Pelodiscus sinensis: one gene and its partners. The protein of the gene in region 3 purifies or fractionates together with the protein of the main gene of each other region. This does not show direct contact. Links are inferred from orthologs where the notes say so. Each region holds a gene or a part of one and is shown on either strand. Other genes may lie near its edges. The genes, in order: RPAP2, POLR2D, MED19 and CDK19.

Region 1 (7,358 bases), on a different chromosome or scaffold from region 3:
AAAAATTTTAAATTCTGAAAAATTAATATTTTAATTTATTTTGTAATATATTACCAAAATAATTAAACATGGTGTAATTATGTTGTTATTGTATTTCTGCATTATTTTGATAAATAAAATATGCAGAACTTAGAAGAATTTTTTGAAAATATATTCTGGGTGGTGCAATCGGGGTGCAGACAACTTGATGCAGGGCTCTGGGTGAAGAGAGAATGGGACACTGCAAGGAAGTCCAGGTGAAGGTAGTTAGGGATCAGTGAGAGTCTGGGGGTACAGGGTTTGATAAGGTTGAGAGGGTCAGGGTGTAGCTGGTTGGAGCTCAATGAGGTCCAAGTGTGAGGGGCTGCTCATGCAGGGGATGGAAATCAGCAGGGTGGAAGTTGGGGGGTCTTGGTAGAGAGGTTCTGGGTGCAAGGCAGGGGTTCAATTAGGGGTTCCAGGCGCATGGATGGGAAGACTGATCACTGAACAGGAAGCTGCTCCCCCGTCTATCCAACCCCATGCATCCAGATCTCTCCCCCAAACACACACACTCAAAACCCGCACTGAGCCTTACCACCCCACACCTAGAATTCCCACTCAGACAGGCCCCTTCCCACCAGCAGTGCAGAGCTACCTGCAGCTTAGAGTAGTTTCTGGGGTTGATTTGACACAGACCCAACTGGTCTGGGCAGGGGAAACTCTGTCTTCATCCTCTTTCTTCCCTCCCAGCCCACCCAGCTGAGACAAACATCCCTGGGAAGCCAGGGCATCCCCAGGCACCCCTTTCCCCAGAGATTTACCTCTCCCCAGCTGCTCAAACAGATATGTCTGTGCACACAAATTTAGGCAATGCCAGTTTCTCTAACAGTTAGTATATTTTTACAGAAAGGAAGTTACTTACACATCGTTGTATAACGGCTTGAAGCTCCTCAGTTGCCATTGTATCCTGATTTTGTTCTTCTGACATTGAAAAGCTCTATCATAATTTAGAGTATAGTAATGAGTCACAACTATATTATATTCAATATTATACTGGATTTAAAATGGAGATTAAAAAATTATCACATTTTAGCAAGTCCCAAGTGGTAAAACATCTTACAGAAATTAAGGAGGCTGCATAAAAGAACATGAGACAAAACAGAAGAGAAAAGAGTTAAAAAATGCAGGGTATTTTTTCATTCCATCTCCTGTGCAGGCACTGCTATTGCTTGTTTATAGGAGACAGGAAAGAGCATGAAAACTATATCTAAAGAGGGGAACTGTCCAACTACAGTAAACTTCTGATAATCTGGGAAGCCCGGGGCAGAGCAGCTGGGGTGCTCTTCCCCGGAGTCAGCCGCTGGTCAGTTTCAGCAGCGGCTGACTTGGAGAAGTCTGGGGCAGAGCAGCTGGGGTGCTGCCGGGATGGTCCGGCAGCACCAAGGAGCAGCGCTACGGGACCAACCCAGCACCCCAGCTGCTCTGCCCCGAGCGTCCCCAAGTACTGAAACATCCAAATCTGAATTGAGATAACTAAAAGAATGTGAAAACTAATTTTCTTTTTATTATACTGAAATCCTACTTACATTTTATTTCACTGTTTTCCACACTTGACAGTGAATCCACACTTGACAGTTTCACTTTGCTGTTCTCATTGCATTAGCACAGGGATGGGCAATAATTTTTGCCAAGGGGTCACAATGGCAATGGCACAATGGTTGGGTATTGGTAACCAGAGCTCATAGCTCCAGCCCCTGAAGAAGAGCCACAACTGGGCACTATTTAAATAGGATCCTGCTGTCCGAGCCACCACCTGAAAATTCGGTGGCATGGACAGCAAGATATAAATAGAAAACTGTCAGACACTGTCTGTGGGCCAGATCAAAGTTTTAGCAGGGCAGAGTCTGCCCCAGGTGGCATCTTGCCCATCCCTGCACTAAGATGTACTTTTGAGTTTGAGTTAGCACCACTGCAAGAGCAATGGCGACATTCCCCCAGAATCAGTGTTCCCTCTAAGCTGCGAGGCAGCACAGTTTCACAGGTGAATAGTCAGCCCTGCCCAGTGAATCAGCTCCACATGGAGCCCTGAGCTTTTGACTGGGCGGGGCTGATTAATCACCAGTTAAGATATGAGGCTGCACAGTTTAGAAGAAACACTGCCCAGAACTACTTTAATTTGTTTGAAAACAAATGTACAGTGTTACCTATTTGGGGCCCAAAGTAACTTGGTATCATCAATAAGGCTCAAATCATATACTGAGCTCCGTAGTGTACTGGTTCTGAGCTCATTGCACGTATGTGGCCCACATGATTAAGTCAGTGATATATTTCCCTGACTTCAGTGGGAACTGTACCGGTCCTTAAGTCATTATGAAAGAAAATTATATATTAGCTATAATTGGCAAACACCATTCATTAAGAATGTTTTTTTCCACCCATTTTGATTTCTTCTTATAGGATCTGAACACCAATGAAGAATGCATCAAAGGGAGAATGTATTCTAAATGCATGGAAGCACCTAGCATCCTCCATACACTTTTGTCAAACACTTGCCATTAGCCATACTTGGGTGAAAACAGGCTGTAGGGGTGGGTAGAGCCCTGGGTGGATATAAAATCTGTATCTGCATCTCTATCAGCACAAATAAACCTGTGACTATAAAGCAGACATCCACAGATTTACAAGGCTCTATGTATGCCCTGAGGCTACGTCTACACTACGTTTTTTGTGCAAAAACCAGCAGTGTCCACACCTCAAGCACGTTTTTACACAAGAAAATCTACAGTCAATTGACAGAACAGATGACTTTTTGCGGTGCAGATATACCTCCTAAGAGGAATATCTCCTTTTTGCGCAAAAAGGCATGTGTGGATATTCCGCAGGGGTTTCTTGCACAAAAAGAGCCAATCCGAAAAAGCACAGGTGTTCTGATGGCCATTCTGTGAATGGCCATCAGTGCTTTCTTGCGCAAGAGTGTCCATGCCGTGTAGATGCTCTCTTGCCCAAAAGCTCATTGCAAAAGCAGTGCATTTTGAGGTGTGGACGCGCTCTTGCGCAAGTTTTTGCACGGGAACTCTTCCTCAAAAAACTTCTTGTGCAAAAACCCTGGGCTGTGTCTACACTGCACCCCTTTTCCAGAAAAGGGATGCAGATGAGACAAGTCGGAATTGCAAATGAAGCGGGGGATTTAAATATCCCTCGCTTCGTTTGTATAAACATGGCTGCCGCTTTTTTCCGGCTCTGGGCTTTGCCGGAGAAAAGCACCAGTCTAGATGGGATCTTTCGGAACATAAAGCCTTTTCCGAAAGGTCCCTTATTCCTCTTAAAATCAGGAATAAGGGACCTTTCAGAAAAGGCTTTATTTTCCAAAAGATCCAGTCTAGACTGGCGCTTTTCTCCAGCAAAGCCCGGAGCCGGAAAAAAGCTGCAGCCATGTTTATACAAACTAAGCGGGGCATATTTAAATCCCCCACTTCATTTGCAATTCCGACTTGTCTCATCTGCATCCCTTTTCCGGAAAAGGGGTGCAGTGTAGACACAGCCCTGCAGTATAGACCTAGTCTTTCAAGGGTGTATAAGGGCTGAGGATAGCAAGTGATAGAGAGAACAGAGAGGGCAGGGCTTCAAGGGGGGAGGGTGTCTTGGGGAAGGGATGGGGTAGATCTTGGCTTGTCCTGGCATTTAAAAAGTGATCTTGGGCGTAAAAAGGTTGGAAACCACTGATGTCTGGGATCCTCCCAGTCGAGGGTTAGCACAGTCGATGGGATTAGTACTGATGCGCTGAGTCACGTCGGAGGCTGCTCTACACCCCGGGGCCTACAGAACACACCTCCTGTCTCTCAAAGCAAACCAATAAGCAGGTCGCGGAGAGGCTGTAGCGGCTTCGCACGGAAGGAGGGGAGAAGAAGAGGGAGACCGGGCGCGTGGCTCACAGCAAAGCCCGCAGCCTGAGGCTGTAAATACGGCTGCTGCGAGCTCCACGCCTCCAACAAGGGGGGCTGGTCTCAGCCGGCGCCCGGGACCTTGTCTGAGGAGCCCCGCGTGGGGCGCAGCGGGCCAGCCTCGTTACCCCGCCCCCAAGAGAACGCGCCGGGGGAGGACTATCCCCGTCGCAGCCGCCCCACAAGGGGGCTCAGAGCCTCCCTCCTTGGACGCGGGGGCGAGGACTGCGCGGCGCCCGCCTCCTACCTAGCGTGCGTCCGCACAGGGCCGCTCCGGATCGAGCCCCGCGTGCCCCTCTCAGGCTCCGCCTCCCCCCCCCTCGCGCCGCGGCGGGTGAGAGGTCAGGCGGGGGGCGGGGCGGGCGGCGATGGCGGCGGAACTTCGGCGCGTCGGTGCGAAGGCGAGAGGCAGCCGGAGACGCGCGGGTAGGATCAGTACAATCCCCCTCCCCCCCCCCCCGAACATACCCCCCGTTTCCCGGCCTAGTGGGCTCGTCCTCCCCACCCCAACGCAGGGGACTGACCCAATCGTCCCAGCCGGGGAGGGGGACGGGAGTAGTGCTGGGCAGGTAGCCGTGTTGTGCGCCCCTCCGCCCCCCGTTTGGAGCATTGCTGGGGTACCCGGAGGGGGAAGCAGAGCCGGCACCATGCGTAAGCGGAATGAGCAGCGGGCCCATTCCTAGGCCGGGGTATTCCAGCTTAGGGCAGGGCGCTGGTGTGCAAGACGGGGTTCAGCTGCAAGCTTGGGAGGGGGCTCTGGGCTGGGACAGTGTTGGGGTGCTGGCTCTGAGAGGGGTCAGGGTGTTGTAGGTGCTGGCTCTGGGAGCGGGCTCAGAGCTGGGGCGGATTCAGGGTACAGGAGGCGTATGGGTTCTGGCTCTGGGAGAGGGGGCAGGGCTGGAGCCAGGTGCTTGGGGTACAGGAGATGGTTGGAGGGTGCAGGAGGAGAGATGGGGTGCTGGCCCTGGGAGGGAGCTCAGGGCTGAGGCTTGGAGTGCAGGAGGTGTTTGGGATCTGAGGCACTTGGAAGAGAGGAAAGTGATTAGGAATAGTCATCAAGGGTTCACAAAGGGCAAGTCGTACCTGACCAATCTGATCAGCTTCTATGATGAGGTAACTGGCTCGGTGGACATGGGAAAGTCAGTGGATGTGATATTCCTTGACTTTAGCAAGGCTTTTGATACGGTCGCCCACAATATTCTTGCCAGCAAGTTAAGAGAATGTGGATTGGACAAATGGACAGTAAGATGCATAGAAAGATGGCTAGAAGGCCGGGCCCAGCGGGTAGTGATCAACGGCTAGATGTCAGGATGGCAGTCGGTTTCTAGCGGAGTGGCCCAAAGTTCAGTTCTAGGACCGATTTTGTTCAATATCTTTATTAATGACCTGGATGAAGGGATGGATTGCACCCTCAGCAAGTTTGTGGATGACACTAAGCTAGGGGGAGAGGTAGATACGCTTGAGGGCAGAGATAGGGTCCAGAGTTACTTAGACAAATTGAAGGATTGGGCCACAAGAAATCTGATGAGGTTCAACAAGGACAAGTGCAGAGTCCTGCACTTGGGACGGAAGAATCCCAAGCATAGTTACAAGCTGGGGACCAGCCCGTTAAGTAGTAGTTCTGCAGAAAAGGACCTGGGGGTTACAGTGGATGAGAAGCTAGATATGAGTCAACAGTGTGCCCTTGTAGCCAAGAAGGCTATTGGCATATTAGATTGCATTAAGAGGAACATTGCCAGCAGATCCAGAGATGTCATTATTCCCCTTTATTCGGCTTTGGTGAGGCCACATCTGGAGTATTGTGTCCAGTTCTGGGGCCACCACACTACAAAAAGGATGTGGACGCACTGGAGAGGGTCCAGCGGAGGGCAACCAAAATGATTAGGGGGCTGGAGCATATGACTTAAGAGGAGAGGCTGAGGGAGTTGGATCTGTTTAGTCTGCAGAAGCGAAGAGTGAGGGGGGATTTGATAGCAGCCTTCAACTTCCTGAAGGGAGGTTCCAAAGAGGATGGAGAGAGGCTGTTCTCAGTAGTGACAGATGGCAGAACAAGGAGCAATGGTCTCAAGTTGTGGTGGGAGAAGTCCAGGTTGGATATTAGGAAAAACTATTTCACTAGGAGGGTAGTGAAGCCCTGGAATGGGTTACCTAGGGAAGTAGTGGAGTCTCCATCCCTAGAGGTGTTTAAGTCTCGGCTTGACAAAGCCCTGGCTGGGTTGATTTAGTTGGAATTGGTCCTTCCTAGAGCAGGGGGCTGGACTTGATGACCTTCTGAGGTCTCTTCCAGCTCTATGGTTCTGTGATTCAGGAGATATGGGATGCTGTCTCTGGAAGGAGGGTCAGGTTGGGGCAGAGGATTTGGGATGTGCAGGAAGAGTTTGGGGGTTGGCATGTGGCCTGCCACCAGGCAGCACTTGTCATTGTCCCAAGCAGCAGCACAGTGAGGCTAAGGCAGGCTCCCTGCTTGTCCTGGGTCCACAGCACTCCTGGGAGGGGTCAAAGTGCCCCTGTCGCCCAGAGGTGGGGGCCAATGTTCACACTAATTTTTTCTGTGTGTGAAATAAATGTTATGATGTACCCTGAGGAATGTGAGTTTGTGAACCACCAGTAGAAACATGCTACCATCTGTGGGCACTCTGCTAATCAGTGGAGCAGCATTTGAATCTCCTGGGCAACTGCCCAAGCACTCAGATTACAGGGAACACTTTTGGGGGTGGGTAGCACGTGGCTCTGTGTGCTGTCCCTCTGCTAATGCAATAGTTCCCTTTTTCTGGCCAGTTGAAGCAGTGCATGCAGGCGGCAGGAGTAGCATGCTGAGACTCTTGCCTCCCTATCCCTCCTCACACACAGGACCATGCTTGCCAGTTTTGGGAACAGGCTGGTGACGGGGTAAACAGGAAGCTTGCTGATCGTAATTAATTGGGAGACTCCCCAGGATTCACCAGTTGATTGCAATCGATCGGTTGGTGACCACCACTACACAGATTTCCAGGGAGAGCCCAGCCTTTCTCAATCTGAGGGTTGTGATCCAAAAATGGATGGATGGGTGGGGGGCAAAGTAATTGACTGGGGGATTTTGGTATTGCCACCCTTTACTTCACTGCTGCCTTCAGAGTTGAGTGGCTGGAGAGCTGTGGCTGCTGGTCGGACACCCATCCCCGAAGGCAGTGCCCCACCAGCAGTAGCACAGAATAGGGTACCCCTACTCCTGTGCTGCACCCTTCTGATCTGGGCAGCCAGAAAATGGTGGCTGCTGACCAAGGGCCTAGCTCTGAATGCAACAGTGCAAACCATGCCAAGATATCCTTACTTCTCTGTTGAAGCTGGAGGCAGCACTATCTTGATGGTGGAGCTCCTGGCCAGCAGCCACTGCTTTCCCGCAGCCGAGTTCTGAAGACAGTATTGGAGGAAGTGTTATTTCACCTGCTCAGAGCAGATTTCAGCCAACAGAGGAGC
Region 2 (8,056 bases), on a different chromosome or scaffold from region 3:
ATACTGAAAGCTTCGTTTGGTTTGAATATCATCAAGAATCTGTTGTAGCTCTTCATCTTCAAACCGGCCCTCTAGGCTGCAAGATAAGAACAATAATGATCGAAACAAGCCTCTTCCCTGTGATTTCACTTTAATATCCAGAATTCCTCATGTTTCTACACATATTTGGTACCATCTGGCATTGCACCATTTATCAAAAAATCTCCCATTTCCTGTTGAGTTATAATACACAGATAACAATAAAGCCCCATGCTATAATTGTCAGGTGCCTCAAATCCAATTAATCAGTTAATACCTTCCTCCCACCACTTTTTTACTGATCAGTTTCAGGATATGAAATTAGAAGGGTGCCATACTCAGGAACAGATGTAAACAAAGATATCTGACTGACATCATGCAGAATTGTACCTTGTAGGCCATCCCACAGTGGCTATGAAATGCTGACTACAAATGGGAAACAATAGATCAGCTCAGTTTTCCACTTATTCCTGCATCTTGGAACCCATAAATCATAAAACCAAAGTCATAAATTCTCACCTGGGAATCAAAGCCTTGGCCTCCTCAGCTGTCTCGGGACACAGATTAGCCAAACATGCCAATTCAAATTTATGGAGCTTTTTCTGGAGCAACAAACTACAGAAAAAGAAAATGGTAAGGGTAGAGATAAAACAGAATAAATAAAAAAGAAGAAAGGAAAAGAATGTGAAAGAAACTAAACTGCTGACATTCTCCTGACAGAACTGTGAATAAGGAATGGAGATGAGAAAAAGAGCAATATAAGTTGTAATTTTTATTATGAATATAACTCTTATTGCTAGTAAGAAAAAAAAGTCATACACGATAACCCCAGCAAGCCTCCAAAAAAGAAAAGCTAGAAAAGTCCTTTTATCTACCACAACCTATTATCATATATTATCATATCATACCAAAAGAGCTCTGGGGGCTCAGCCTGGGGCCTCTTATTACCCAGTCTAATACAAGTGCTCTCAACCTGGACGTCATGATTCTTCAAAAGTCACAAGTTTTTTACATGGAATTGTGTGAGCTGTCAGCCTCCAGCCCCAAAATCATGTTTTGCCTCCCGCATTTATAGTAGCATTAAATATATTTTTAAAATGTGTTTTAATGTATAAGGGGAATAGCACTCAGAAGCTTGCTGTGTGAAAGGGATCACCAATGCAAAGGTGTTTGAGAACCACTGCTCTAATGGAATCTTACTAAGTCCCTCACTCCCCCAGAAATATACAACTAAGATCTCTAGAACAACCCTGTTCCTGGAAATAATTAACATGTTTCAACTTCATAATATAGAACATACACTACAATAACTCATCTTTCCTTGGCGCTCTCACTCACCTACGGACACTGGCAATGGTCTCTCGGTTTTTGAAGCGGCTAAAGCGAGCCGTGTAGTTCAGAGTTTTCATGAAGACTTCAGAGAGCTCCTGCTCATCCTCAGCACTCTCGTTCTGTTGTTTACGATGCTCAAGAAGCATGTGCACTTCTGAATTTAGAAGCGTCTCAGCAGTTTCAAATTCTGTACACGAGCAAGTGAATATCAGTGTGAGGGGGAGATAAGGACACCAACAAAGAAGCCAATTCTTACATGCTTTGTTTCATGCTCAGATATAGCTGCAGAGAAAGGAAAATGAGCCAGAGACATAGCTTTGACAGAAAATCCTGTATTCCATAACTTGGAAGCCATTACTAATGAGAATATAATTCCTCCAAGGCCAGACAAATAGGTTTACAATACTGAGTTGCACTCCAGGTATTTTTAACTTTTTGATCATACATATTTAAATTGCCAGCCCAATCTTTTGAGGTAATCATATTTTTGTAATGAATTATTACTCAGTAGACACAAAGGTCTGAAATAAAAGACAAATATTAAAAGGATAGTACTGCAAAGGCTTTTTTTTTTTTTACACTACTTCTTTTTTAACTTAGTTAAATCAGGAATGGCAAGAGTGGTTTTCTGTGGTTTTGCTAGAGAGCTTCTTGCAGTTTTGAGGGATGTTTACTGCTAGCACCTTAATTAAAGGATCCTGAATATTTAACAAAGGCTTTCATTATCAGAAATGTTAATTTAGTTGTTGAAATTAAACAGGCAATAACAAAAAACAAGTTTGAAACAGTCTGACTATAGATCATTTTCCCTCTCGTAGATAAACTTCTTTCTCAGCTCTTGCTTTTTAACCATTTCATTAATTTGTTTGACTTCAAGTGTGTTTATGAGACTAGATGGGGTATGAATTTCTGGTGCAAAAAAGCAACTAGACTGCACATATTTCTGGTTTCCATTTACATCATAGCAGAGTATAAGCCCATTTTTCCCATTTTGGGGACACCTTGAAGGAACAAATATAGCTATTTAAATATTACTATTTTGAATTATATTGATATGTACACTATTTTTCAGAGTCATTCAGAATATTTGCAACAGAATTTACTGGCAATTGGTAATCCCGCTTTCAATGCTTCAATAGTTGGTTTCCAGTCAATAATTGTAAAATAGTCTCACGGGCAGCAATACCTGTGTGCCAAGGATCATCGATCAGAAAAACTAGAGTTCTTCAGATCAATCCCAGAGATCACTGAACTGTGACAGCCTGATACAGCTCGGAGTGTTTTACATACAACCCTGCGACAGGGACTGTCTTTTTGTCCTGTATTTGCACAGCACCTAGTAGAGGTTCCCGGCAAGGGGGCGCTTCAGCCGCAATCGTGCCCCTTTGACGCACTGAAAAGCCTTGCGAGACGCTATTTCAAGAACGATCCGCGCGGGGCTAGTCCGGCTGGAACCGGGCGGCTTAGCGCTCGGGCAGCGCGGGCTGCCACGGCTCGTTCTCTTCGCAGCGCCCCTGCCTGTGGGGACTGGCAGCGACCCAGAGCTGGGAAATGGGACTGGGCGGCCCGGTTCAACGCCAGCACCAGGGGCCGGGGCGGGCCACGCTTCCTCCCCGCCCCGCAGGGGGAATCTTCCCCGCCCGTCCGCCCCCAGCTCCCGGGCGTGTCCCCCGCGGATCGAGCCCCGCGCACCTTTGGGGAAGACGAGCTGCGAGGCGTCCTCCTCCACGTCCGCGGCGCGCGCCTCGCCGCCTCCGGCCGCCATCGCCTCAGCCGGCAGCGGCTTCCCCTGGCGAGCGGGGGCTGCCGGGAGCCCTCGCGCTCCTCCCGCCGCGCGGCGGCCGGGCCCAGACTTCCCCAGCTCCCGCCAGGGGGCGGGCGTCTGCTGCGCGCGCTGCGGCCTAGCGCCAGGCCCGCTCCCTCAGCTGTCGGGCGCGGCAGGGAAAAGCCCGGTGGGGACCAGCCCCCTGCGAGCTTTCCCCCAGGGACCAGGCTCCTCCCTCAGCCAGAGCCTTCTCCTGACTGCCCCTAGGGCCGCCTCCACGCGCGCAGCTAGTCGGGAATAGCCTGGCCCGAAACACCACGGCTGTGTCTAGACTGGCAAGTTTTTCTGCAAAATCAGCTGCTTTTTGGCGGAAAAACTTGCCAGCTGTCTACACTGGCCGCTTGACTTTCCGCAAAAGCACGGACGATCTCATGTAGCTGGTCAGTGCTTTTGCGGCAATACTATGCTGCTCCCGTTCGGGCAAAAGTCTTTTTCCAAAAACTTTTGCGCCAAAGCGCCAGTGTAAACAGCAGAGATTTGGTTTCCGCAAAAAAAGCCCCGATCGCGAAAATGGCGATCGGGGCTTTTTTGCGGAAAAGCGTCCTGCCAATCAAGACGCGCTTTTCCAAAAATGCTTTTAACGGAAAACTTTTCCGTTGAAAGCATTTCCGGAAAATCATGCCAGTGTAGACGTAGCCCACCTCTGCGCTGCCGGGTAGCCTCAGAATGAGCCTGACGCAGGGGTAGACGTGCCTTCTCGGTTTGCAGCCCCAAGAGGAGCATGGCCCTGGGGACGGGCCGTTTCCAAATAGCAGAAGTGGAGCATCTGCACACGCCTCATTCTGAAATAGCCATTGCGGATTGGCATTATTCTTCATAGAATGAGTTTACAGATATCGGAATAAGCCGTCCATTATGTTGAAATAATAGAACTGTGTGTAGACGCTCGCTGTTATTCCAAAATAATTTTGCTGTATGGACACACCCTACCAGTGCTCCATACAAGAAATAAAGTGACTCAGACACAGATCCACCTGACCCAACGGCTGCTTCTGCAATCACTTACATCCTGTATGGCAGAAATAAGGGAAGGAACCAAAGAACCTCTCCAAAAAGCAAATTACCCACTACTTTTCCCAACACTGTTGCATAGGAAACACTCTTGCAATGCATCTGCTGGGAAAAAAGACTCACCATCTTTCTTGGTTGGTAAAAGCCGCCACAGACTCTTAACAGCCTACTTTTGACCACAATGAGAGGAAATGCGTTCAGTTATTCTGATATATGCAGGTGTGGCCAGGGCCGGCCCAAGCCCTTTTGGTGCCCCAGGCATGCAGTGCTGCCACAGGCACATGGTGCATGCGTGGGCCCGCCTGTGGGGCACAGGCCTGGCTATCAAGGGAGCACGGGCCCGCCCACAGGGCACACGGTGCATTCGTGGGCCGGCCACGGCCACTGGCGTGCAGCCCGGGGCCTGCCCCCGGGGCGCACAGTACATGCGCTGCCCAGCCCAGCCTGGCCAGCGCTGCTGGCACGCGCTCCAGGCCATGCAGGGCCCCACGGCCGTGGGGGGAAGAGCGCTGCAGGCCAGCGCCGCGGGGCCAGCACTACGGGAGCCGGGCGCGCAGCGCCTGATGGCAGCTATAAGGGACGCCACACGCCCCTTGCAGCTGCCATCAGGCGCCCCTCATCGGTTGGCGCCCTGGGCAGTTGCCCGGCTCGCCCATGCCTCAGTCCGGCCTTGGGTGTGGCCAGTGCTCAGGACCTTGTTGATTATCTAACTATCTATTGCCCATTTCTATATGTCTTTTCCAGAGTAAGATTATTGAGATGATGCAGTTGTAGCAACATTTGGTATCTACCACTATTTCAGACTATTTCCCGTTATGTCAGAGCTGGACATAGTGTGTAGGTATTGTTGGCTATATTGATAGATGCTCTTACAGCCTCATGTGTATGTCTTTACACATAAGGGACCCAGCGGCAAGCAGGCAATGGAGTGAATTCTGCTGTGGCTGAGGGGCTAGCGCATTTGCCTGTGGAAACATAGGGTGGTGGGTTCAAGGCTGGAGGAAGGGGGCATAAGGGATCTGTCAGAGATAGTCTCTGGAAGTTGATCTAAGATGCTGCCTGTCCTATGGTTGCTAATACTCCAAATTGTCTTGCAGTCTCCATGAATTAAAGATTGTTTTGTCCTCTTCTTCTTAAACCCTTGCACTCCAAGTGGAGCATAGGTTATCTATGACCTATGTAGGGACAACTTAGTGGCTTGAGCATTGGCCAAGGTTGTGAGTTCAATCCTTGATGGGGCCATTTAGGGATCTGGGGCAAATCTGTCAGGGATGGTACTTGGTCCTGCTGTGAAGGTCCCTTCCAGCTCTGAGAGAGGTATATTTCCATGTATGATATTAACTCTCCAACTTCATTCTGTCTTGAGACAAAACTTCTAGCTGACTCCAGGAGTACCCGAGTTGTCCTTCAATCTCAGTAGATATTCTCCATGTTGTCTGAGGTTTTCCTCTTTTGCATTTTCCTTGGGGGTTCCATGTGAGAGTTTAACTGACTATGCAGGGTGATGGTTTTCTGAGAGTGTGGCCTAGCCATCCCCACTTTCTTCTCTTCATTTGAACATCAAGTGGTTCTTGTCCTGCTCTGTTCCAAAGCTCCTCATTTGTGACAAAGTCTTGCCATTTGATGTGAAGGATGTACCTCAGGCATCTGTTTATGGATGTATGTAGCTTGTGATTTGAAGACTTTTTAGTAGAATAATTCCTCATTTAACACTACAGGCAGTCTCCGACTTACGCGGATCCGACTTACGTCGGATCCGCACTTACGAACGGGGCTTTCTCGCCCCGGAGGTCGAGGTAGCGGATTGCTACCTGCGAGCTCCGGGGCGAGAAATCCCCGTTCGTAAGCTGCTCCGGTGCCCCTGGTCTGCTGGAGACCGTCTCCAGCAGACCAGCGGCACCGGGCGGGTTCCCACGCTTCTGAGGCTTTGCTCTGGCAAAGCCTCAGAAGCGCGGGAACCCGCCGCTGCTGCCGCTTCAGTCGCGGTGCCTGTGGTCTGCTGAGGACGGTCCCCAGCAGACCACAGGCAGGGGACTGAAGCGGCAGCAGCTGCGGTTCCCCGCGCTTCTGAGACTTTGCTTTGGCAAAGCCTCAGAAGCGGGGGAACCCGCCCGCTGCTGCCGCTTCAGTCCCCTGTCTGTGGTCTGCAGGGGACCGTCCTCAGCAGACCACAGGCACCGCGACTGAAGCGGCAGCAGCGGCGGGTTCCCGCGCTTCTGAGGCTTTGCTCTGGCAAAGCCTCAGAAGCATGGGAACCCGCCCGGTGCCGCTGGTCTGCTGGAGACGGTCTCCAGCAGACCAGGGGCACCGGAGCAAAGCCAAAGCAAAGTCTCAGAAGCACGGGGAACCGCCGCTGCTGCCGCTTCAGTCCCCTGCCTGTGGTCTGCTGGGGACCGTCCCCAGCAGACCACAGGCACCGGGACTGAAGCCGCAGCCGCGGGGGGGTCCCGCGCCTCTGAGGCTTTGCCAGAGGAAAGCCTCAGAGGCGCGGCACCCCGCTGCCGCTGCGGCTCTGCTCCTGTATCCCTGGTCTGCTGAGGAGAGGAGGGGGCGCGGCTAGTGTGCCCCCCCCCAGCAGACCAGGCTTTTGTTTTGGACCCTGGAGCAGAGCAGCTGGGGCTGCCATTTGGTCCTGCAGCGCCTTCTGGGCACTACTGGACCAACCCGGCAGCACCCTAGCTGCTCTGCCCCAGGTCCTGATTCAGCCGCTGCTGGTCAGTTTCAGCAGTGGCTGAATCAGGACGCCTGGGGCAGAGCAGCTGGGGTGCTGCTGGGTTGGTCCAGTAGCGCCAAGGAGCGGTGCTACTGGAGCAACCCAGCAGCACCCCAGCTGCTCTGCCCCAGGCGTCCCCAAGTCAGCCGCTGCTGAAGCTGACCAGCGCTGACTACAGGAAGCCCGAGGCAGAGTTGCTCTGCCCCAGGCTTCCTGGAATCAGGTGCTGATCAGTTTCAGCAGCAGCTGACTTGGGGAAGCTTGGGGTTCTTAAATTGAATCTGTATGTAAGTCAGAACTGGCGGTCAGTTTCAGCAGCAGCTGAATCTGGACGCCAGTTCCGACTTACATACAGATTCAACTTAAGAACAAACCTACAGTCCCTATCTTGTACGTAACCCGGGGACTGCCTGTATAGATGCATTTCTGCAAATGTTCGTGCTAAATGAAAACGTGCTATGCGGGGTCAATTTTCCCATTAAAAATAATGGAAAAGGTGGGGTTGCATTTCAGGTGGTAGTGGTAAAATCAATCTTTTGTTGGTGCTGGGTCTTCAACGTTGACATTAGATATCTAGCAACACAAGATAACCAGCAACACAAGTTGCCGCAGTTTGTTAAAACACAAAAATAAACACATAAATGAGCGGAGGAGCGCTGTGACCACACGTATTCATCCACTCATGCGTATTACCACTGTTTTCACCAACTTATGCTCCTCAAGTAGATGAATTGCTCCACATCTTCCAGGTCATCCCCTCCCTGTGTGATGGTGGTATTGTTGGACTGGTTGTTCCTCATTATCTTGGTCTTCCCCTTGTTAATGCTCAGTCCAATCACCCATTTTCCCCATTTCTACTCAGGGAAAAGACTGGCTGGGGAAAAGAAAGGGGTTCACCCAGCTTTGTATCATTTGGGGGTCCACTGAAACAGTAGAGTTTGGTTTTCCCTCTATATCTTATGGTGGTCAGTGATGGGAGTAGCTCAACGAACAGCAAGCTGATGCCCTAGGTGTGGTACCTAAATTGAGGGCTGCTCTGAGCCCCTGAGGCAAGCAAATCCACCTGAAAGTGCAGGACCCACCAAGTTTGAGTACGAGTTTTGTCACAATACCTTGATATCTTTCCTACAAATAATTCATAGTAGAAAAATGGAAAA
Region 3 (7,554 bases):
CACACAGATTGGAGGAGAGGGGGCAGGGAGACCCAGCAGGCACAGAAGTCAGACATTTGGTTTCCAGGACTAGGTCGCTTGCTCTGTGGCTTTGTGAGAGGTTTTATCCAGCTCTCCCACACTGGATTCTTGGCTCAGCAAGCGTGGGAGGAAGCAGCCGACACGATCTGGTCCCGCAGAACACTCTCCTAAGCACGTTAGGGAAACGTGACCTACGGGAAGTTGTCAGAAGGTGGGCAAACAGCTGGTTGAAAGAGCGCACCAAGAGCGGTTGCCAATGGTTTGCGGCCCAAGGCCATAACTAGTGGGAACAGCATTCAATACCGTCACCAATGCCTTGGACACGGAGGAGAGCGTGTGCTTAGAAGATCTGGGGTTGAGGGGCTGCCCAGATGGTGGGAGGTTAGAACTTAAAATGAGTTTGACAGATTGGAGAACTGGTCTGACTTCAACAAGCTGAAAGCCAATGAAGACAAGCGCTAGAGGCAGGAAGGAATGAAATCGGATGCAGGGCTACCCAGTGGGGAACTGGCTAGTAGGCAGTGCTCCTAGAAAGGGTCCAGGGCTTCCTGTGGACCGCAATGGGAACAGGAGCCAACAAAGGGAAAAAGGCTAATGTGGCCCTGGGGTGCAAGTGGCTGGGGCCAGGGAATGAAGATGACAAGCAAAGAGAGGGGTGAAGCAAGAGAATGGTCTTAGCAGCAGCAGTTTGCACCGCCCAGTTGCAGAGGCAGGGGCAGTTACCCCGCTCTGGGGCAGGGGAGCATGCACTCGGACAGTGCAGCAGAAAGGAGCTTGAGCCCTTCCTCCCCGTGAAGTGATAGGGCCCGTACCAGCCTAAAAGGGTGCTGCATTTAAAAAGCCAATTGACGGTGGAGAGTCAGCACTCTGAGAGCCCCAGCCCTGAAATACATAAGGAAGCTCAAAGACTGCATCCCTAACCCAAGATGGGGCATGAGGAGTTCAGCCTGTCGTCTAGGGCAGGGGCTTTCAAACTCTGGGTCACAGCTTCTCAGGGCAAGCTGCTAGCTGGCTGAGACACATTTTTTTAAAAAATCTGCACCTCCCCAGGACAGTCCATCGCAGCTCCAGTTGGCTGGCCAATGGGAGCAGTGGGAAGCGGTGTGGACTGCAACCAATGGGAGCTGTGCGCAGGTACACAAAGCATCATGCAGCCAACTAGTGCCAGAGTTTGAAAGCCCCTGGTCTAGGGAGGAGTCATTTTGCTGGGGGAGGGGACGACTACTTAGCACCATGGGGCACGTGAGCAAAATCCAAGCAAGCACAATGGTGTTTCAGTAAGAACCCTTTCTCCCACCCTGCGTCTGGCTGGTCTAGTTGGATGGGCAGCTCCTCAGGGCAGGGACCTTCCCCACTCTGCATGGGCTCTATGGAGCAACTGACTGGGTTGGGGTGTAGCGAGCGTACAGCACAGACTTGATTCCCTTCGGAGCCAGCCACGTGGCCCCACAGCAGCACCTCACCTATGCACAGCGTCAGGTAGAGCAGCCCCATCCGCACATCCAGCCGGAAGAAGAGGATCGCATTGGCCACTTTACTGAACATGAAGATGTTCCCCACGTGCTGATCCACGGTGACTGGGGAGAGAGGAAGTGGGGGAGGTCAACCCCAGACTAACACCCTAGTTCAGGGCAAAGCTGAGGTGCACGTGGAATAGACCAGGGCATTGCACCTCACGACCCAGCACCTTCTCCTCTCAGTCCAACACAGACTGCCCCACTTCCTGTACCTGCCCCCCGCACTGACGCTGCCATCCCAAAGTCTCTTCCTAAGAACAGCAATATTGGGTCAGGCCAAGGGCCCATCTAGCCCAGTGTCCTGTCTTCTGACAGAGGCCAATGCCAGGTGCCCCAGCAGGAGAGAGCAAAACAAGGAATCATCAAGTGATCCCTGCCCTGTCACCAATTTCCTTTGACAAACAGAGGCTAGGGGCACCATCCCTGCCCATCCTGGCTAACAGACACTGATCGACCTAACCTCCATGAGTTTATCTAGGTTTTTTTTAACCCTTTTAAAGTCCTGGTCTTCACCACACCCTCTGGCAAGGAGTTCCATAAGTTGACTGTGCCTTGTGTGAAGAAAAACTTCCTTTTGTTTGTTTTACACCTGCTACCTCTTAATTTCATTTGGTGACCCCATGTTCATGTATTACAGGAAAACGTAAATAACTCATCATGCCAGCTTTGAGGTCCAGCTGCTCTAGGACCTCCCTGATCTTGCCACATGCCTCCTCAGCCAGACCCCCTCCAGCCCTCCTCCCTACGCCAGAGTCCTTCCTGGGGTCCGACACGGAGTCCAAGCGTGCCCACCAAAGCAGCCCTTGGAATGCCGCCCCCATCTCCGCCCCCGGAACAGTCCCGCGGAGGCATGGGGGCGGGGGAACAGGACTCACTGGATCTGCGGTTCTTCATCATCACGATGGCACTAAGGAACATGAGGATCTCCACCTCCCGCTGAAAGAAATGGGGGGGGGGGCAGAGTCAGCCCGGCTCAGATTGGGGCGCCCAGCCCAGCCAACGAAGCACCAGGGAGGGAGCCGGAGCCCCCAGAGTGGAAGCCCCACGTGGAACCAGCCAGGGGACTGGGACAGCTGGACATAGCATGGGGGGAGGCAGGGGGGCTCGGGACTCACCCAGTCGAAGTCGCGGGGGGGGGGGGGAGGCAGGGGGGCTCGGGACTCACCCAGTCGAAGTCGCGGGGGGGGGGAGGCAGGGGGGCTCGGGACTCACCCAGTCGAAGTCGCAGGGGGGGGGGGGAGGCAGGGGGGCTCGGGACTCACCCAGTCGAAGTCGCAGGGGGGGGGGGGGGAGGCAGGGGGGCTCGGGACTCACCCAGTCGAAGTCGCAGGGGGGGGAGGCAGGGGGGCTCGGGACTCACCCAGTCGAAGTCGCAGGGGGGGAGGCAGGGGGGGCTCGGGACTCACCCAGTCGAAGTCGCAGGGGGGGGGAGGCAGGGGGGCTCGGGACTCACCCAGTCGAAGTCGCAGGGGGGGAGGCAGGGGGGCTCGGGACTCACCCAGTCGAAGTCGCAGGGGGGGGGGAGGCAGGGGGGCTCGGGACTCACCCAGTCGAAGTCGCAGGGGGGGGGGAGGCAGGGGGGCTCGGGACTCACCCAGTCGAAGTCGCAGGGGGGGGGGAGGCAGGGGGGCTCGGGACTCACCCAGTCGAAGTCGCAGGGGGGGGGGAGGCAGGGGGGCTCGGGACTCACCCAGTCGAAGTCGCAGGGGGGGGGGAGGCAGGGGGGCTCGGGACTCACCCAGTCGAAGTCGCAGGGGGGGGGGAGGCAGGGGGGCTCGGGACTCACCCAGTCGAAGTCGCAGGGGGGGGAGGCAGGGGGGCTCGGGACTCACCCAGTCGAAGTCGCAGGGGGGGGGGCAGGGGGGCTCGGGACTCACCCAGTCGAAGTCGCGGGGGGGGGGAGGCAGGGGGGCTCGGGACTCACCCAGTCGAAGTCGCGGGGGGGGGGAGGGAGGCAGGGGGGCTCGGGACTCACCCAGTCGAAGTCGCAGGGGGGGGGAGGCAGGGGGGCTCGGGACTCACCCAGTCGAAGTCGCAGGGGGGGGGAGGCAGGGGGGCTCGGGACTCACCCAGTCGAAGTCGCAGGGGGGGGGAGGCAGGGGGGCTCGGGACTCACCCAGTCGAAGTCGCAGGGGGGGGGAGGCAGGGGGGCTCGGGACTCACCCAGTCGAAGTCGCAGGGGGGGAGGCAGGGGGGCTCGGGACTCACCCAGTCGAAGTCGCAGGGGGGGAGGCAGGGGGGCTCGGGACTCACCCAGTCGAAGTCGCAGGGGGGGGAGGCAGGGGGGCTCGGGACTCACCCAGTCGAAGTCGCAGGGGGGGGGGAGGCAGGGGGGCTCGGGACTCACCCAGTCGAAGTCGCAGGGGGGGGGAGGCAGGGGGGCTCGGGACTCACCCAGTCGAAGTCGCAGGGGTTCCCATCCTCGCGCTGGGTGGGCAGCCCCTGGCAGAGCGGCGGCACTTTGCGCACCAGCAGGAAGGCGGCGGAGAGCAGCGCCGAGAGCGGGTAATAGGGCCGCGCCAGCCAGCGGCACAGCCCAGGCACCGAGTAGAACAGCGCCAGCAGCGGGGCTAGCACCGCCATCTTCACCTCCACTGAGCAGCCCCGCACCGCCGGGACGACCGCGCACGCTCCACCGATCCCTATTGGCTAATCTTAATGCCAATCGTGATGAGGACAGGAACTGTAAGAAAGACCCATTCTCATTGGTTGATACCGCTGCCCCTCAAAATTAGACACATCCAATTGGCTAAATGGATTTCAAGGGGGCCTGCCTTTGTAGAGCGAGGGACTAATCAGATATCGGAATTTGGAATGACGTAAAGGCCAGACCTGATTGTCATCACAGTGCGCATGGGAGAAAACCAATCACGTCAGGCAGAGGAATGTAGCATTTTTGTCCAATCAGAGATAAACAGTGGGCGGAGTTCAAAATAGATGGGCCAATCACAGCCATAGATAGGACAGGCCGCCCTCCAATGAGGACAAGGCAGACTGTCAACTCCTCGAGGAGCCGAGCCAATGGGAGGAGAACGCGCGGGGCATGCTGGGACGATGGAGCCTTTCTCTGCTCTCTTCGGAGGGGCTGAGCCGCCGCCTCCTGCCGCGGCCGCCGCGCTGGGCTTCGGGCCGGGGAAGCCGGGCGGTCCCGGCGCCGGCCCGCCACCCACAGCCGCCGCGCCCCAGAGCGCAGAGGACGCCGCCCGCAAGGCCGCGGCTGCCAGCGGCCCCTTCTACCTAATGCGGGAACTCCCAGGTACCGAGTGCAGGGGGCGGGACTTTGCGGACTTTGGCCAATCGAGTTCAGGGGGCGGCCTTTAGGGGTCTGGCCAATCGGATTGCTCAGATTTCTGATTGGCCTCTCTCCCCGCCTATTAATGGCTGGGCCTGTTTTCTCCAGCCCAATAGGCGAAACAGACGGTCTGGTGGAGGCGGGGCTGAAGAGGTTTTTTGGATTGTCAGCCCTTTCCTCCAATGGGGAAGTCGGAAACCTATGGGGGAGGCAGTGTGTATGAATGACTGGATTGGCAGTTCTGGGAGCCAATCATGATGCAAGAAGATGTTTGGGGGGGGAATATGGGTGCTCGTAGCCAATGGAGACGGGGGGGGAGGGGAGAGAGAGCCTGCTCCCAACTGGGTCTGCATGAGCCATTTCCCAGACTCTTGTGCTGCCCCAGGAACAGTGCTGCCCCAGGGCGGTGGGGGGTGCCCAGGGGAGGGAGGCAGACGTCTGTGGGATGGGGGAGGCTGCTCCCACCCAAGGCCCTGGCTGCTCATGTAGGATCCCCAGGGGCTGGGCCACAGTCCAGCTCTGATGCGGTTAATGGGGCTAAATCCCGTTTCCTTCCCCTGTTGCCAGGCAGCCACGTGAGTCTCCAGCCCGTGGTGCGGCGCTGCCGTGTCCCAGCCGCTCTGGTTAGCGGAGGGGCTCTGCCCCTGCTCTTGAGCAGGCCGGGCTGAGGTCTGCTGCACCTGTAGCCCAGTGCACTGCAGATAGTAATGAAGTCTCCCCACTGTGCTGAGCCAGGCAAGGGCCAGCCCAAGCTTGCTGCTGGAGACAGCTTAAACTAATATGCTGAAGGCCAGAGGGGAAGCCAGTGGCAGAGCTGGGAGGGGAAGTCAGGAGCCCAGGCTCCCAGGCCTGTTCACAGAGTGCCCAACCACATGGCCTTGAGCAAATGTACAACCTGGCTCCCCTGGTCCCTGCTCAGGCAACATGGAATTGACGGGCAGCACGAACCTGATCACACACTACAACCTGGAACACTCCTACAACAAGTTCTGCGGCAAGAAGGTGAAGGAGAAGCTGAGCAACTTCCTGCCTGACCTGCCAGGAATGATCGATTTACCAGGTTCGCACGACAACAGCAGCCTGCGCTCCCTTATCGAGAAACCACCCATCTGCAGCAGCTCCTTTAACCCCATCACTGGCACCATGCTGACTGGCTTCCGCCTGCATACCGGCCCGGTGAGCTTCCTCCTAAGCTATAGGAAGTGGGAGGGTAGTTTTGGGGTGGGAGTCAGGACAGGGGGGACTCTGTTTGGGCTGGGTGAGATGAGGCAGAGGGGTCTGTGGAGAAAACAAAAAATCCTTGCTGATTAACCAAGGAACATGTAGTGGTGGGAGAATTTCTCCAAAGATCATCTCCCTCCCCATCTACCCTAATTTTTCTCTCTACCAGTTGCCAGAACAGTGTCGCTTGATGCACATCCAGCCACCCAAGAAGAAAAATAAGCACAAGCACAAGCAGAGCCGCACACAGGATCCTGTTCCCCCAGGTAAAAACTGCCTTCCACAAATCTATCAGTCCCCTCTCTGAGAGAGAGCAGCACCCACCAAATCTTTTCCAGACCCCAGTAAAATCATAGGTCAACCATCTGCCATCTCCAAGAGGGGCTCACTCAAAGGGAGATCTTGGCTTTCTTTGCAGAAACCCCTTCAGATTCCGACCACAAGAAGAAGAAGAAGAAAAAGGAGGAGGATCCTGAGAGGAAGAGGAAGAAGAAGGAGAAGAAAAAGAAGAAGGTAAGTGACTACAAGGGGGAAGAACTTGTGGTTCACTTCCCCATCAGCAGTCAGTGCTCCCAGTCCATGCTTACCTTACCGGGGAGGGAGAGGGCTTGAAATGTATCTGATCCTCTCCTGGTTACCTCCATGCTCTGGAGTCTCTGTCTTAATATAAAGGCCCGGGAGAGTAGGGGTTTGGATGCTGCTGGTCCCACCTAGAGTAGGCAGGCAGAAAAATAAGCTTTTTCCCACCCAAAAAGAGGGAGGGGGGAGGGAGAGAGAGAGAGAGAGACTCCTTCAAGAGGGTAGGGCCCTGTGTCTGTGTGTGACCCCTTCCTGGGGAGTGGAGAATGGGAGGGGTGTAGTTATTTAGAATTCAAGACTCAAAAGATTTTTGATTTAAGAAATGCTGGTGTGGTGGCTTTGGATGCTACAATTCAGTTGCCTCATGCCCCCTCTTGCATAGAACAGGCTCCCTGGTTTGTCTATATCTCCCAGGACATGCCACTTTCCCACTCCATGAGAGTCCCTGGCCATGGTGCACCGTGGGCGCTGGAGCCTGGCCCAGAGAGGAACGGAGACCCTAAGCATCTGTATTACAGCTCTGATGAGACACCAGGGCTGCATTTGCAGATTGAAATATCTGGGGGTTTGGTAGGAAACTGATGTGTCCTGTTGAAACCACATGCTGTTGGGGGGACGCCTGGGAATGCTCTTTGGGGCAGTGTAAAACAGGCCAAAAGTTCTGAGTCTTCATTCCCCCTGCTCCGATTGGTCCCCGGGCTGAGGAATCCTGTCCTGACTCAGTCCCTTATTGCCACTGTGAATCCTCATGGGGTTGTCTGTCTGACTCAGAACCGGCACAGCCCCGAGCACCCAGGCGTGGGCAGCTCTCAAGCGAGCAGCAGCAGCAGTCTGCGGTGAGGTGCCGACTCAGCATGGCACTGGGAGTGCTCTATGGAGATGCCCATCACCAACATGCGGGGGAGAGCGGCGCTGGAGGCAACA
Region 4 (7,518 bases), on a different chromosome or scaffold from region 3:
GCTTGTTGGCTCTTAATATATTTAAAAGGCTAAAGCGCAGCAGGAGGGACTCAGCATGAGCCAGGACAACTAACAAGCTCTTAAAACATTTAAAAAGCAGAGGTGTAGTATCTGGGACTGGATGCAAGCTGGGAATAAGCTGATTTCCAGCTTGCGCCCAGTCCCCACTACCTCCCTGCGGAGACGGAGCTGGGGGAACTGGCTTTTAAGCCGGCTCCTTCGAACACTGGCTCTTGTCCCCTCCCCCCTTGCGGACTCTGATAGAGGCAGCAAGGGGAGGAGGGTAAGCGACTAGTTGAGGAATTAGTTGACTATCCTATAAGCTTTTGCTTATTGCAGAGGTGGAGAACCTTTTTTGGGTTGGGGGCTGTTGACTCACAGAAAAATCAGTCGGGGGCTGCACACAAATTAGGAGCAAAATAAAAAAACAAAAAAACACCCCAAGAATAAACTCCCACTGACATTGAGGAGATAAAGCTTCAGAGGTTAGTCTGTAACAGGAAAAACTTAAAAAATAACAATTAGTCTAGTAGCATCTCAAAGACTAAATAGTTACAAGAGGCTGATAAGAACCATTAGTTAGTACTTGGAAAGGAAGATGACCAACACCAGATTCTACACAGACATCAAGAACCATTAGCACCTTCATTGGTCGGTTGGTTGATAATGTGTGAACCATGATTCACACATTATCATAAGAAATAAACTTGTGAATGAAGTTAAGCTCCAATCCTTCTCTGTGTATTTGGCTTGTGGAATTGGTCTGAAACAAAACAGCGACTTGGAGATCCATTAATGAGTGTCCAGGAAGATTAAAGTGTTCTCCAACAGGTTTTTGTGTGTTGCCTTTTCGGATATCTGATTTGTGTCCATTAATTCTTTCCCATAGAGCAGTGGTCTCCAACCTTTTTACACCCAAGATCACTTTTCAAATGACAGAACAAGCCAAGAGCTACCGCCCCGCTCCTTCCTCGAAGCCCTGCCCCTTCCTCTCTATTCTCTCCATCACTTGCTATCCCCAACCCTTATACTGCTGCTTTTCCCCCAATCCTTCTGTAGGAAGAGGTTTCCCCAACATTTGGCCTGTCAAGACTGGACCAAATGTCAGTAAAACCCCTTCTTTTGGAAGCCCTCTTATTCCTCGTGGAAAGAGGAATATAGGGGTTACTGAAAGAGCATGTTTGCTCTTCCACTAAAAAAAGCGGAAGAACAAATGCATCCCTGGACGCAGAAGAGTTTTTCTGGGATATCTTCAGAATCCTGAAAAACTCCTGCAGTCTAGCCTTACCCTCACTGGGTTGAGGCAGGATGTATAGGCTCTGGGGTGGGAATGAGGGATTTGGATGTGGGAAGGGGTGAGAAGTGCAAGCTCTGAAAGGAAATCTGGATATAGGAGGAGGTGGAGAAGGGGACGCTGGGTTGGGGAGGGGGCTTCAGGCCGGGCAATGTTGGGGTCAGATGTAGAGTTAGGGTACTAAGCAAGCCACAAGCTTGTGGATATAAAGGTGCAGGAATTTGGGTTAGGGTATGTGAGGGGCTCAGGGCAGGGATTTCCAGTGTATGATAGGTTCAGATCAAAGGTCTGGGGGAAAGGGGTATGCAGGAGTGTCATGATGTTGTGGGCAGATGGGGGCTTGGCCCCAACTGTGGGTTTGTTGGCCAGGCTTCATTTTTAAATAAAATACTATGGCAAACAAAAAGTTTCTGCATTCTCTTTATTTATGAGAAGGGCAGGGAACCTGTTTTGAGTCAGGGGTCACTGACCCACAGAAAAGTCAGTAGGGTCCACACAAGTGGGATGCAAAATAAAAACTCCTCCAAAACTCCCACAAGCCTCACTAATGTGGCCCCAACTGTGCTGGTGGGAGCAGGGGGACATGGTATTGGGGAAGGGTGCAAGGGGGTATCGGGACAGGGTGCTGGCTAGGGTGCCAATGGGTGCTGGGGCAAGGGCCAGTGGGTTCTGGGGCAAGGGCCTGGGGCAGAGGACAGGGTGTCAGTGGAGGCAAGGGACAGGGTGCTGGGGTGGGGACAGGATGCCAGTGGGAGCAGGGTGTTGGCTGGGGCAGGGATTCCCCCCCCCCCAAGAGGAGAGAAGCTCCGGCAAGAGCCTCTTCCTGGGACGACTCCTCTGCAAAGGAGGAAAGCCCTAGCGCATTTCCCCCAGGGACTTCTCCCCCCTCCCTGGCGCGTGCTTCTCCCCGGGACTCCTACCTCCTCCCCCGCAGAGGAGAGGAGCCCCAGTGTGCACTGCCCCTCGGACTCCTCCCCTCTCCCTTACAGAGGAGGGGAGCCCCAGCACATGCTTCCCCCTGGGACTCCTACCTTTTCCCCGGCGTGCGCTTCCCCCTGGGACTCCTCCCCCATCCCCGGTGCAAGCTTGCCCTCAGGACTCCTACCTCCTCCCGGGCAGAGGGGAGCCCCGGTGCGCGCCTCCCCTCTCTTCTCTTCCCCCCCCCCCCGGAAGCCCCAGCGCGCATCTTCCTCTGGGACTCCTACTTCCTCCCGGTGCGCCACAGACCTGGAGGAGAGGAGTAGGCAGTGTACTTCCGGAAACCCCGGAAGTGGCACGCAGTTGCTGGACTTCCCTCCACCCCACAGGAAGTTGGCACTACCTCCGTTTTCGGAGGTAGGTAGTGGGGCTTCTTGGGGGCGAGGAGAATTGGAGGGGCCCCGAACGCCTCGCAATCACTGGTCGAGCCCTTCCGATCAACCCGTTGATTGTGATCGATGGGTTGGTGACCATGGCTGTACAGACTGTCCAGTCTGTCCGATAGATATTGCAGTGGGGGCATTGCTGGCATTTGACGGCATAAATCACATTAGGGGATGTGCAGTTAAATGAGTCTCTGGTTTGGTGGCTGATATGGATACTCCCCAAATTCTCCTCAAACAGCAGAGTCCCCCCCACGGGGTTCACCACCCCTAGCTCATCAGACAGTTGACTAGTAGCTTACATCCCTAATGAGGCTATATACCACTAATCTTATGAGAACAGCTTGAGGCACGATGGTAGCAAATATCAATTTCAAAACAGAAATGGGAATTGAAGGTATGTTTACCTGATGGAGCCTTTATTGATATAGAGCACAACCCTGTAGTGTAGTATAGCTACAGCCTATAGCAACAGATTTGTTGTAGTAACACAACCTCCCTGAATGACTCTGGCTATTTCCCTAGACACCACTTCTGTCAACCTAGAGTTGGAGCCTACACTGTTTTTTTTTAGCATAGCTATGTCTTTCTGGAGTGTAGTTTTTTCTCACCCCTAACTGGCATAGCTACTTCAAGGCAATTTAAGTACACACTAAGCCTAGGACAGAAGTGTGTGAGTGGCCCTTTTCATGATAGTCATGCTTAAGTCCCATGACTGGCTGTTTTCTCTTGCAGTGGAATAGCCTCCTGGCAATGTTGTCATGGCGATGATGACTCAGGAATGAGCAGGGTTAGTGCCTGGCCGTCCGGCATTGCTCTGTGCAAGCAGTTCTGGGCCAGCCTTTGATTGTGCATCACCCCGAAGGCAGGGATGTGCGCTAGCGCGGTGCCTCGCAGGGCTCAGCGGGCACCTCCGATCTTTCGCCCTGGCGCTGGTAGGGAAGGAAGCCGAAGCGCCAGCCCCTTGGGCCGCACCGGGGCGCGCAGGCGGGGCCGCTGCCTCCTCCTCTGACCCCTCGGGGACAGCAGGTGGGGCCCCGCCCCGGTTCCACTTGTAGGAGGGTGTCGCCGCCGCCAGGCCACGCCAGCCCGCGGGGCCCTATTGCATCTGCTGGAAACTGGGCGGCAGCATCTAACCCGCTCCGCGCTGCCCCGGCCACTCCGATCAGAGACGGCTCCGCCCCAAAAGCGCGTGCCAGGGCGGCTGATTGACGAGCACGGCAGCCACTCACGCCTAAGCCCGTAGCCCAACGACTAAATGCGCGAGATGAGCCGTAACCAATCGGGATCGCCAAAGAGGGGGGAAGGGCGGGGCCACGCTTGAGTGGCAGCTCACAACGTAAACAAGTACCAGCGCCACAATCCTTCCCCTCCCCCTAGCTGAAGGGCTGAGGCTCAGGTACTGAGCACGGTCTCGCTGCGAACCAACCTCCCTCCCCCGTGTGGTTGCGCCTCCCACCTCAGTCGGGCAAAGTGAAGAGTCAGCAACTTCCCAGCGTCCGCTGAAGCGCTTAGCCGCTCAAGGGAGCGCAGGCGCAGGCAGGGAGTGGGTATTGCGGTGCATGCTGGGAAATGTAGTTCTCCCGCCGCTGCCTGCCTATGGAGCCTTTGGATCCGCGGCGCCCGCTGCACTATCAGTCCCAGAATGCCCCGCGCCACGGTGCAAGCCGCTCCAGTTGAAGCGGGTGGCGGCGGAGCGGACCAAAAAAAAAAAAAAAACCCCACAACAAAATCCAAGAAAACAGCCCCCCCAGCCCCACTCGCGGCAATGGTGCAGGGAGGGGGCTCCCGGCGCCGGGGGCGCTGATCCCGCCGCGCCCCCTCCCCCATGGGTGAGCGACATGGACTACGAGTTCAAATCCAAGCTGGCGGCCGAGCGCGAGCGGGTGGAGGATCTGTTCGAGTACGAGGGCTGCAAAGTGGGGAGAGGCACCTACGGGCACGTCTACAAAGCGCGGCGCAAGGACGGGTAAGAGGGGGCGGCGCTGGCACGGGGCGGGGGCTCCTGGCTTGGTCCCCCCCCCCCCCCCGCCCCTGAGTGTCCCTCCGCCCTCCTGGGGCCGCGGCGCCGGGACTCCCTGCAGGCGTCCCCAGTTCAGCGACGCTGATGCCGCAAGCTCCTGGGCACCCTCTCGACCCCGCAGCTGCGGGAGGGTGCGGTGACTGGGGGGGACTAGTTGTCTGTGGCCCCTGGAGACGGCAGTGACAGTGGGGCTGGGCGGTGCTAGCTGCCGCGCCCCCTGCCAGTGGGAATGCCTAGAAATCCCCACACTGGGAAGGGGAGCGGAGGGGACGGGGTGGAGCGGGACTTGGTGGTGGGGGTAGGGGAGCTGGCGGTGGTGTGTGTCCGTCCGTTCCGCCCCCCCCCCGGGAGGGAGAGAGCCAGAGCATGAAGGTGGCAGCGAGAAATGAGAGGGGCCACCCTGAGGTGAAGGTGGGAGGGTAGCAGGGAGACTGGGGCGAGCCCTGGTGCTGTGTGTGTATGTAGGGGGAGCAGTAGGAAAGAGGTGGGAAAAAGCCTGGAGGTTGGGGTAGGGACTTGAGGATGGACTGTGGTAGCCTTGGTGGTAAAGAGTCTGTGCATCCCTCAGTGTCCCTTTCTCCCAGTCCCTGCAAAAGATGGGCTATAACAATTTTTCTTCTCCATGACTTTCCATCCGTTGACTTACTGTTTCACTTGAAGCCAGGAGGGATGGAGCAACAAAGGAAGAAAAAGGCAAAGAAACTAACTTTTGGAAAAAGTTTTTTGTAAACATTATTGTACTAAGGTAGAAAATCCAGCTTTCAAAAACAAAAAGATAACTGGATAAGAGGAAGTGGTGATGCAGGTGCAGCTCCACTGACTGGTGCATCCAGGCTTAATATAGATCATACATTTACTGAATAAGCACCTATGTTCAGGGCTCCCAACAGGCCCTGAGTGTTTTCGCAAAAAACAAACAAAAAACAAATCTAACCAACAACTTAGTTCTATACAGATATGCACACACAAATAAAGAGTATTTTTGGTATATTGCTGCTAGCCTAGTGTGTTCTGTGTGGGCTGAGTGAAGCTTTTAAGTGATGCTTCAAATATCGTAGCTTCATTTAAATTAATGTTTGTATCCCCAACCCCAGAAATGTTAATCCTGTGAAATTTGTTAGCTGGTCAGTGATGTGGTGGTGCTTAGTGTTCCTTATGAATTTTGCGATACACTTTATAGCCTAATTAAGTAGAAACTGAATAAGGTGGTGCTAAAAAGTCCTTGTTGTCCTAGTGAGGTTAATTCAGTATACCTACTAAATGTCTGGTTTTTAAGTGTGAGCATTGTTTGCTACTTATGAAGCACTGGCATCTCCAGAGTGAATCAAAATTATTTTTAAAATCCAAAAGAGTGGCCTGCTGTGTCTGTTTGTACTTTTCTAGTCTACGCCATGTAGAACTTTTCTGTAGCTTTTAATGAGTCTGGTAGTTGTTCGATGTGTATGACTCCATACAAGTAGCTAGTTAGGCCCAGAATGAGATGTACTGCTCTTCTCTCTGTGATGCTGGAAAGGTGGGATGGTAGTTCCCTGGCTAGTTATTACTATTCCTTGCTTGTCTCATTTAATTGTATGGCAATTCTGTAAGGAAAACACCTGATTTATCTCAGGTGTTGGTCTGCATGTATGCTGGCCATATTTATGCACACTACAATTACAGCGGTGAAACTTACGTCACTTGGGTTGGGTTTTTTAAATACCTTGGAACAGAGTGACATAAACTTTGCTGCCACAAGTAGTAGTGTAGACATGATCTAAGTTAGTAGGGTATAATACTGAGGCTAAGCAAGGGACAGGCAAAATATGGCCCGTGGGCCAGATCTGGCCTGCCAAACATTTGGATCCAGCTTGTTGTAGCCCAGTGGGACTTTCAGGTAGGCTCCTTGGATGCTGCAGCCCATACGCTGCTCACAGTGGCCAGCATGTGTGTGTCTGTGCAGTGTGCCCCTTGGAGGGGATGTTGATCTCTGTACTCTGCCCCCTGCACCATCTTTGCAGCTGGAAACTGGCCAATGGGAGCTGAAAGGGCAGTGCTTGCAGGTGCATACACCACATAGAGGCCCAATGATTCCCAAGGGGCATGCTGTGCAGAGATGCACATTAAGGCTGCAGCAGCCAGGGAGCTAGCCCAAGCGTCCTTCCGGGCCACTGGCCAGGGGCTGCCTATGGTAAATTCTCCTGGCCAGAGCTGGCTTAAAAGCTGGTTTCCCCCAGCATCAGCTCTGCAGTGCCACCTACCCCTCAGAGGCAGCAGTGCAGAGGTGGGGCAGGGAAGGCTGCTGCAAAGGAGGCCTCTGTCCATGGTGGCCCAGGCTCATTGTGGACAAAGGTTGCTCTATGCGAGGTGGACCAGCCTTTGTCCATGAGGAGCTCGGACCCTTCCCCCCCCCCGCAGACAGGGGCTGCACCAGTCTCTATCTGTGGCCAGCCAGAGCCACCACAGACACAGGCTGTTCCATGGTAGCCTCCCTTCTCCCCCCTCGCTCCTGCTGCAGCAGCCTCTGTATCAGAGGTAGCAGTGCAGGGCAATAGGCAGCCAGTCTGTGCGGGGAGTTAGTTTTTGTACAGGCTCCCCTTGCGAACTGGCTCCCAACTGCCTCAGCCCACGCTGCTGCCCCTGGTGACTAACAAATAGTCTTGTAACCAATAAGATTTCATGCGGTTACATGGCTATTCAATTACACTATATCTAACATCTCTATACCAGACCTCGCATCCCCTCCATTAATATAATAGACAAGTGTTTTACCAGATTCTTGGAGTGGTTTCCCATAAAAAAGTTATTGCCCACCCCTGGGCTAGATTAATAGTCAAGACAGAAGATTGGTTCAAATAAAGGAA

Evidence for each region.
Region 1: the proteins of MED19 (region 3) and RPAP2 purify together in Homo sapiens (affinity purification with mass spectrometry; 3 studies listed by BioGRID and IntAct, with this or other methods). This does not show direct contact. The link is inferred for Pelodiscus sinensis from reciprocal best matches to the Homo sapiens genes MED19 and RPAP2.
Region 2: the proteins of MED19 (region 3) and POLR2D purify together in Homo sapiens (affinity purification with mass spectrometry; 4 studies listed by BioGRID and IntAct, with this or other methods). This does not show direct contact. The link is inferred for Pelodiscus sinensis from reciprocal best matches to the Homo sapiens genes MED19 and POLR2D.
Region 4: the proteins of MED19 (region 3) and CDK19 purify together in Homo sapiens (affinity purification with mass spectrometry; 7 studies listed by BioGRID and IntAct, counting the BioPlex papers as one, with this or other methods). This does not show direct contact. The link is inferred for Pelodiscus sinensis from reciprocal best matches to the Homo sapiens genes MED19 and CDK19.

The regions. Positions count from the first base shown.
Region 1 is NC_134719.1:34,345,812-34,353,169, forward strand, and holds the start of RPAP2 (putative RNA polymerase II subunit B1 CTD phosphatase RPAP2), read left to right. Parts: upstream 1-4,186; 5' UTR 4,187-4,270; coding exon 4,271-4,328; intron 4,329-4,355; exon of another isoform or gene 4,356-4,549; coding exon of another isoform or gene 4,550-4,553; intron 4,554-7,358. Other genes in the region: GLMN (glomulin), read right to left, coding at 884-949.
Region 2 is NC_134720.1:5,692,042-5,700,097, forward strand, and holds the start of POLR2D (DNA-directed RNA polymerase II subunit RPB4), read right to left. Parts: upstream 3,325-8,056; 5' UTR 3,116-3,324; coding exon 3,043-3,115; intron 1,538-3,042; coding exon 1,357-1,537; intron 634-1,356; coding exon 538-633; intron 77-537; coding exon 1-76. UniProt on the Homo sapiens protein: Core component of RNA polymerase II (Pol II), a DNA-dependent RNA polymerase which synthesizes mRNA precursors and many functional non-coding RNAs using the four ribonucleoside triphosphates as substrates.
Region 3 is NC_134714.1:128,612,821-128,620,374, reverse strand, and holds the start of MED19 (mediator of RNA polymerase II transcription subunit 19), read left to right. Parts: upstream 1-4,466; 5' UTR 4,467-4,559; coding exon 4,560-4,794; intron 4,795-5,749; coding exon 5,750-6,006; intron 6,007-6,220; coding exon 6,221-6,317; intron 6,318-6,469; coding exon 6,470-6,564; intron 6,565-7,401; coding exon 7,402-7,470; 3' UTR 7,471-7,554. Other genes in the region: TMX2 (thioredoxin-related transmembrane protein 2), read right to left, coding at 1,485-1,598, 2,414-2,474, 3,933-4,121. UniProt on the Homo sapiens protein: Component of the Mediator complex, a coactivator involved in the regulated transcription of nearly all RNA polymerase II-dependent genes.
Region 4 is NC_134713.1:79,074,259-79,081,776, reverse strand, and holds the start of CDK19 (cyclin-dependent kinase 19), read left to right. Parts: upstream 1-4,321; 5' UTR 4,322-4,483; coding exon 4,484-4,624; intron 4,625-7,518.